Linked DNA regions of Arabidopsis thaliana. The protein of the gene in region 2 purifies or fractionates together with the protein of the main gene of each other region. This does not show direct contact. Each region holds a gene or a part of one and is shown on either strand. Other genes may lie near its edges.

Region 1 (3,953 bases), on a different chromosome or scaffold from region 2:
TTGATTCGATTTGAAAAATCCGAACATCCGTAAGATTTTGGAGCAAAGCAAATAAGAAAATATGGTATTCATAAAAATCGAAGCAAATAACAAATATTGTTTTTTAAAAAATCGAATATCCGCTTCGATCCGTATTTATATATATATATATATATATATATATATATATATATATATATATTAGAATATATAATTATGTCTATATATAAATATCATAAATAGTTTGTGTATTGTTGTTATCTTCTGTTTTTATGTTAAGATGTTTGTTTGATCATTTTTCTTTTATGTTATGTTTTGATTAATGGCATCTTAAACTATCGGTTTTTGTTTTTGTTTTAATTAATTTGATAACATTTTGTTGACTGGTGATAACAACAACAGTTATGTTTGGTATTTAGAACTTATTTTGAAAGGATGTTAAATAAAAACATTGAATATTTGATATGCTTGTATAGTTTACAGATTTTTTTTATTATTTATATGTATCAAAGCAGATATCCGCAAATATCACAAAAAAAATCGGATATTCGAATTTCCGGATATCCGGAAATTTTCGAATCGAAGCAAATCACAAAATCAAGTATTCGGTTAAAACGAATCAAAAAACAAATATTATAATTTTTCCGGATATCCGCTTCGTGTCCAGGCAGTATGATCTTTTACACACACATGAGTAGTACTATGTTCATAAATCGTAACAAAATAATATGGTTTAAATATCCATATTGAGCTAATAAAAACGAATAACAGTTTTAAATAAATCGAAAACATAAAATAAAAATATCATGGAGATCCACAACAACATATGTTCATAGATGTATACACAGCTTTGTGACTTTGTCACATAATCTTTAATGATATCCAATAGGAGCCGGAGCTTCCTTGAGTTCATGTCCTTTGAATTGTATATCCTGCACACATAAAATTCCATATTGTAACGAAATTTACATTTTATACCAATATCACATTGTTTTATCATTTTGACAAATAAACTATACAACTCCTTACCGAAGCATAGTGGTTAATATCACGGTGGTGAGCTTCGTCAGCTCGTATAACATAAACCACATCCCTAAGCGTTGCATCTTTAGGCAACCGCCAGTAATCGATTGCGATGGCTGGAGCTGGCGAGTTTTCGAATTTTCCGGCATCAATGTCTTTGAGAAATTCAGTGTAAGAATTTACAGCCTCTTCTTCTAAGTATCCAGTGATACGATGAGCAAGTTTGGGTGAAATTACATAAGCCAGGAAATATGCGTTGAAGAAAACGCCTTGGACCGTGAACACAATCGCTCGTTCGTACCTTCAAACACCGGTTCAAATGATAAATGAATTACACAATTCCAAAAGTTTTAGGTTAGAACTGTTTCTATTAGATAACCGATCTAGGTCAAACCAAACTTGATTAGAAATGTAATACAAGTTACGTGTTATTTAGAAAAGGTAATAAACTAAAAAGGTACATGCATGCATATATACATACCATTTGGGTTGTGAAAGTTCGATGAAAGTCATGAGATGCATACGCTCGTTCTCAGCCTCTTCGAGCAAAGCTTTGATCCATCCCCCGCTATGTTCGAACCTCCGGAGAGATTTCAAGTGCAAAAGCATCCCCCCGACCATTCCCGGCACCGCAGCCACCGTCTCTAGCAACATCGCATGGCACATGTGCTTCCTCTATACTCAAAAATCAAATTATTCAATTTTTGAAAAAACAAAATCATGTTAAAAATAAAAGAACAAATGAAGAAGATTTAAAATTTCTGATTAAATTACCTGAAAAAATAGTTGAACCGGTATTTTCAGAGTTTGAACGGTCCAATATGCGAATTTGTCAGTGAAATTGGAGGGTTTATGATGTTTAGTTACATCAATGGACACATCCGGTTTGTATGAATCCCATGGCTGAAAACAATTCCACTTCCAAGCTGAACCGTCCGGTTTAGTGATCTTAGTAGGAGGTATACCCCAATAAGTGGATATAACTTTACCATCGGCCGTTCGGATAGGATTTTCTGGCTGGTTATTCCCACTTACCGGAGATGACGTGTCAGAGCTCAATAGCCGAACATTGGGCAAGTGGCTAATGAGATGTCCCCTGAATCCTCCAATTCCTAAACCGGAGGATTGTACCGAAGATGATAGTACCGGTCGAAGAGTGCGGTAAATCGATCTGTAGGACATGAGTAACAACAGTTGGGGTGTGATGTATCAACGAGTTTTGGTGGTGAGAATAGAAATACTAAAATTATGAGAGATGGTTTAAGGTTATGATTGATCTTCAGATTGGGTTATGTTCATATGTGGCAGATAAATTATGAAGAGATGAATTTATATACACGAGTGATTATTACTAATCTCGGTCAAGTTCAAAGTTTCTTGGAGGATGAATAAGAATGGAGGAAATGTTTGACACGTTTTGTTACATTTTATGTTTGTGGAAAAGTAAAAGAACATGTGAAATTACTTAAGGATTGTGTTTGTCACCATCATATTATATTATTATCTTATTGTTCAATAATTCATATATTCAAAAAAGTACTACAGTTTATCACGAGATAGACACACCAACTATATTATTACACATCATGAAATTACAAACTCAGATCATGTTACTATCATAATATACAAAGACGCTTAAATTTTTCCTATATTTCGTATATACCTTGTTATATTTTCTTAAACAAATGTTAATTTAGAATCTATACTATATTTGATAAATAGAAAAATTAAGAAGAGTTTATAATATAGAAAAAAATGTGGTTCTCTCGAATCAGAATGAATTGCTACTTTTACCACTCAAACACACACACACACACACAAAAAAAAAAAAAAAAGAAAGATAGAAAGAAAGAATGAATTGCTACTGTGTTAAAAAATGATAAGTTGTTTTAAGTTTGTTTTGGTTTTGATCCAAAAAAGATGTTGAGATAGAAAAGGACTATTGTATATTTTTCTGAAATTATGTTGTACTAGATTTTATCCCGCGGTATACCGCGGTGACAATTTAACTTTTTAAAGTTAGTATAATTTTTTTTTTGCAAATTGAATCTATATATAATATATTTTTATTTTATAGTTTACAATTGTTATTAAGTAACGTCCTGCCAAACCCGTCCCGCCAAACCCGTCCCGTAAAAAAACTATTTATTTATATTAATGTTGATCTTATTTATGATATGTTTATAAATCATTGTCTAAATATTTTTGTCGATGCGGGACGTTGAACCCACACATTTTTTGCTAATTTGTTAATATATGTTTATTTTTAAAATTTTGAATTATAAAATATGACGGAAAAAATTAAGATTTTTTTAAAATTCTATATATTATATAATGATGTTAAAAAATTGTAATATATCGAACTTTTTATAAGTTTAAATATTAATAATGTTTTATAAATTTTAAATATATAAATAATAATATTTAAAAAAATTAATATTTTTGCTTATAAGGTAATGACATAATAACTCTAAAAGCAAGGATTTAGAAGATTTAAATCTTTAATTAAATATTTTCATTAATAAATAATTAATGTCAGTGACATGACATATTAAATAAGTTCAAATACAAAATTTATTTATTTAAACAAAAAACGTTCAGTAAAAATAATATTTATTTAACAAAAAAATTTGTTTTAAAATATTGTTAGCAAATATGTTTATGCTAATTTTAAAGGATTGATTTGAAGTTTGGTGGGATTAAATTTGATTGATAATGTGATTGACAATTTAAATCAAAAATTTAAAATAAAATTAATTATTTTTAAAAAAAGATTTAATGCTAATGACATTAGATTGTAAATAAGTCCAAGTTCATGATTTATTTGCTAAAATAGCTGTAAAAATGTATATATAGATTTGTTCATCTATTTCTTTAATATTTTTGTAAAGATAAGTGACTCATAAATCGCACTAGTAGATTACGTTAATTGAGCAAATACAAATATTTGG
Region 2 (5,035 bases):
ATATATTTAAAATTTATAAAACATTATTAATATTTAAACTTATAAAAAGTTTGATATATCACAATTTTTTAACATCATTATATAATATATAGAGTTTAAAAAAATCTTAATTTTTTCTGTCACATTTTATGATTCAAAATTTTAAAAATGAACATATATTAACCAATTGGCAAACAATGTGTGGGTTCAATGTCCTGCATCGACAAAAATATTTAGAGAATGATTTATAAACATATCATAAATAAGATCAATATTAATATAAATAAATGATTTTTTTACAGGACAGGTTTGGCGGGACGGGTTTGGCAGGACGTTACTTAATAACAATTGTAAACTATAAAATAAAAATATATTATAGATAGATACAATTTGCAAAAAAAAAATTATACTAACTTTAAATTAAAATCTAGTGTTATATATGATTTTTGTATTTTCTAAAACTCACACGAAAAAAAACATGACTTGTTTACGAAAATGCCGTTGCATATATACCGAACCAAACCGAGATTCGATAACTTCGGTTATGATTTGGTTAGTAGGGGAGCTAAATTAATGAACTTCAAAGCATAAAATACAATTCATTCCACAATACAAATACGAATAATTGTTTAGTCGTCCTCTCAAGAACTATATCTATAAGCCATATTTCTTACACCTCAGATTGTTATTCAACTAAGAGCTGAGTAAGAAAAAAAAAGGATCAGAAGCAACAAACAATTGAACCCATGATTCCATAAACCTGAAAAAAATGTTATAATTAAGTATTCACTGATGATATTGCCCTTCTTAATCATCGTGCTTAATCTTCTTCAAGGACTGATCCTGATGCTCGAACGGATCGATACAATTCTGCTGGATTGTTTGAAAGTATGTCTCGGTGATAGAGAGCAGAAAGTGTTCAACTACCCGAAGTTTTACCGGTTGCAAGAGTAACTGAAGATGAAAATCGGGGGACGAGCACTGCCTCGTTGCTTACGGATTTCGAAGCTGCTAACTCTTCCAAAAGCTTCCATGTTGCTTCTCGTTTGGCTACAACCTCGGTTTCATTCGCTTCATCTTCTTGGAACTTGGCTAAGCATTCATCAAACAGAATTTGGTCTGTCTCTGCCATTACCTTTCTCACATTCAAAGTCAGACTCTGAACTGCTTGGTTCCAATGCCCCCGTGTGTTTCTCTCCATAGCCGGGAACACAATGGGCATTATCACTTTATGGTTTTGAGTAATCAGGTTTCTTATGTGATCGTTGTTCCATAGAAATAGAGCCCTTTCAGCCACCTGACAAAAGAAGCAACTTTGAATATAACCTGCAAAATTGCGAGACTATATGAACAACTTATCGAGAGTCGCACCTGAAAATGTGAACTGTTGAGGCATCTAGCGATTTGACGAAATAAAGGAACCATACATCGCTGAAACTCAGCTGCTTGAGTTGCTTCCAAAACTTCTTCCAACTCTCCAAGAAACATAACTTCCTTTGAACTATTAGTCACAGGCCAATACTTTAGAAGTCCTCTAATGACCGTATCAGCAAGCTTGAAGTCTTTCTCTACAAACTGAACAATGCAATAAGAAAGCTGTTGATGATAAGCAGATGCACATTTAGGTCTGTGGAGTGGAATCAATGCCCGGATTAGGAAGAGCTTATGCTCTTCTTTTAACGGTAAAGCGAAACCGTTGATTATACTTCCTAGTATCTCAAGCAACTCTGCAATACCGTTATGCTTTTCGGTTTCAAAAATGAATCTGTAGAAGATATTGTTGATCGCCTTTCTGATAAAGGGTCGGTGCACCATGAATTTCCCGTATATCCGATGAAGAATGGTCTTTAGATATTCCCTCTCTCTCTGGTCTTCAGAGTCAAACAAATCCAAGAGCTTCAAGACAAATGAATGGTCAATATATCTCTTTGCAAGCTTTGCATCAGTCATAGGCGAGGCCACAAATCTAAGAAGAAGCTCATAGACAACTTGAAGATGAGGCCAAGCCGGCTCTAAAGCAGGTTCCTCATCATCCACATCAAGCGTTTCGAGAATCTTACTCTCGTGATTCGCAGAAGGAAACGTCCTGAAAAGATTAACAACAGCCACTTTCGCAATCTCTTGCATTGCAGCATCACTCAACTTTGTAGAAACCGTTGCAATATAATCAACAAGCTCAAGCAAAGTCTGTCTCTTTATCTCTTTCTCTCTCAGATTCTTCGACGGATCATTGAAGTCGAACACAACGCAACACATACTCAACTTCTTGATAAACAGATTAGGTTTCTCCGAGGTAGGAACATCTCTAAAGCTTGGCAATGCTTCATAAACTCCATTGACTTGATTGGTTCTGTTAGAGCTCGTTGAAGAAGGAGCAATAACAGTTCCATTTGCTCCATTCGAATTCGATGCGGATGATTTCGAAGAAGGCTTCGAGATACTACTAATACCCGAATTGGGAATGTAATATGAATTAACCCCACCTTCTCCGTTTGGATTCGAGTCATTATGCGAAGATTTTGAAGGTTTTCTGGGCAATTTCCCAAATATCTGTTTGATCATAATTACAGAAACCCTAAATTATCTCCCCACAAAAGGGCCAAAACCCTTCCCTTTTTTTCTCTACTTCGCAACAAGCCTAAACTAAACCAGTAAAACCCAAAAGCTTTGGTTCTAAATCAAAACCCTAATCATTGAACACAGCCCTGCATGTAGACAAAGCCTAAATTCATAATCGGAAACACAATCTCATAAACAGAATCAAAGATTAGCTTAAGAAGATCCAGAGAAAACAACAAAATGTAAACTTTGGAGAGAGGAGGAAGAAGAGGAGCTTACAAATGGCAGATGAGTAGAGAGAGAGATCTGGGCACTGGAGATGAATGAAATCAAGAGAAACCCTAAGAAAATGGCGAGCTTCAAGTAAAAAAGGAAGGATCTTTGTGATAAACCCTGTAAAAACAGCTACTTTTTCTCGCCCTAAACTGAATCGAGAGCAGAGGAAAGAGAAAAAAAGGGGAAAAGGCAACGAAGCCCAGCAAAGAGAAAAAAAAAATCTGGGAAGTTACAGAACACACAACACGAAGATTAAGGTTGTAATGAAAACTAAAATAGGAAAATAAATTAATAATTGTCCTTCGCTATCTCTTCCTCTGTAGATTTTCACTGTAAATCTCAATATCTCTGGCTTTCTTTGGATTCCGAATAACAGACATTATAGAACTGTTTACAAAAAAATAAAATTAATTTTCCAAAAAAAAGGTTTTGAAGAGAACAAGGAAAATGACAGATGGGCAGGTACGTTAATTACCATTATGTCCCTGATATTAGGAGAGCGTATGTGTGTGGAATTTATGCAGAAGCTGGTCAATTCGTCAATTCACGAGTCCAAGGATATAAGTAATTTGCTCATTGGATAATATTTTTTCGATTATTCTTTCTAAAAGATATGGTAGTAGCTAGTCGATTGAAGAAATAAATAAATTATGCAAAAGCTAAACTGCTAAAGTTATTAATAAATCTGAAGAAAAGAGTTTGATAAATCTACGAAAATCCAAAGCCTCTAGAGCGTTGACCAGATAGTTAGAGACTAAAGTCAACGATCAGGTTCAAAAACACAAAAGCAAAAAAAAAAAAAGAGAGACATAAATCGAAGGGATGAGTTATGTAAGTCTAGAATTTCTGGATGACGACGGCATTAGCTATACCAGCTTGCTCGATGGTTTGGTCCAATTCTGTCAATTGTTTAGGAGGGAACCCCATGGTTAGCAACTGGTACTCTTTGGAGCCACCGGGTCTAGAAGCGTCGATAAACCCACGTACATCTCTGACAGTGTGGTGGTTGTTGAACCTGGAGACAAGGCGTGTTCCGTCTGCTAATCTGAGCTGGATAGAGGTTGTCGGTGCTGCTGGATCTACAACTAGCCCTCTTGATGGTGCTGGTGCTACGTTCATTGGGGCAGATGAAGCTTGTGGTGCTGAACTTGAACCAGATCCGCTGGCTCCTAGGGTTCTTCCTACACCTTGGAATGGATTTTTAGGCTTTGGTGGTTCCTGTGAGTCAAAAGATACAGACGTTAAAAGAATCCTATGAGTGGCTTCTCCAGAGAATAGGTTAACGAGATTATTATTGATAGATGGGAATGAGACTTACGGTGAAATTTTCTCCACGCCTGACCAGATCGACATGAACAGGGATCTTCTTATCTGCTGGTTCGAGTTCGCTGGGGCACTCTGACCTTGAGATGCTCTGCAAAAGACAACATATATATTAGGGATTCAAAGACTATCCAAGTGAGTAAAGACAAGTATCAAGCTTGATTTCCATGGAATTGTAGTTACTAATTAGAGAAAATCTGGACATTACATTCATAAAGGCTGCGTTTTCAGGGTCACTGAACCCTCTTAACGGACCATCATTAACAGTGAAACCATTCAACCAGAAAGTGATGGTGTGCATAATCCTTTGAGGCTGCTCTTGCTGTTGTTGCTGAGGAGAAGACGAAACAGCTTCACCAGACAACAAACGCGCAGCTCCAGTGAAGCTTGTAGAAGCTGATCTTGATGGTTCAACAGGTCTGTCTACAGCTGACTGCCTAGCTTGGTCAAAAAGTTCATCAACATCTTTCACTTTCTTAGGATCTTGTACCATCATCCCACTACAACACATTACACAATCCAAAAACAAAACTCTATTAGCGACACAAACATACACTTTCTCCAGCTATATAAGAATTTCAAGAAAGACAATTCAGCTACATACACAAGATATGGTCAATCCCTAAACTATCATTGATCTACGCACATTGCTCAAGTTCATGATCATGTTGCCCTAATTCACTTTCTCAACAGTATTATCATCTAAGTATTTTCCAAACTATGATCAGATCTGTTGAAAATTGTACCTCTTTTGTCCACCGGTATAATACTCATTAGCTTCATCCGAATCACTGCCCTCGCCATCAGCCGGAGAACGGTTCAGATCGGCGAATGTACGGATATTCCCAGCGTGTTGACGACTCCTAGAACTCCGAATTCCCGACGGATTCTCAGTTTC

The links. Proteins that work in one complex are often made in the same cells at the same time.
Region 1: the proteins of ATB' GAMMA (region 2) and AOX1D purify together in Arabidopsis thaliana (affinity purification with mass spectrometry, with the first as the bait; one study listed by BioGRID). This does not show direct contact.

What each region holds. Positions count from the first base shown.
Region 1 is NC_003070.9:11,666,386-11,670,338, forward strand, and holds AOX1D (alternative oxidase 1D), read right to left. Parts: upstream 2,306-3,953; 5' UTR 2,185-2,305; coding exon 1,777-2,184; intron 1,678-1,776; coding exon 1,484-1,677; intron 1,304-1,483; coding exon 1,009-1,303; coding exon of another isoform or gene 976-1,008; exon of another isoform or gene 912-975; coding exon 852-911; 3' UTR 501-851; downstream 1-500.
Region 2 is NC_003075.7:8,815,213-8,820,247, reverse strand, and holds ATB' GAMMA (Protein phosphatase 2A regulatory B subunit family protein), read right to left. Parts: upstream 3,327-5,035; 5' UTR 3,290-3,326; intron 3,218-3,289; exon of another isoform or gene 3,202-3,217; 5' UTR 2,818-3,201; exon of another isoform or gene 2,685-2,817; 5' UTR 2,542-2,684; coding exon 1,351-2,541; coding exon of another isoform or gene 1,277-1,350; coding exon 899-1,276; 3' UTR 521-898; downstream 1-520. Other genes in the region: PUX5 (serine/threonine protein phosphatase 2A 55 kDa regulatory subunit B prime gamma), read right to left, coding at 3,652-4,032, 4,133-4,228, 4,346-4,637, 4,884-5,035.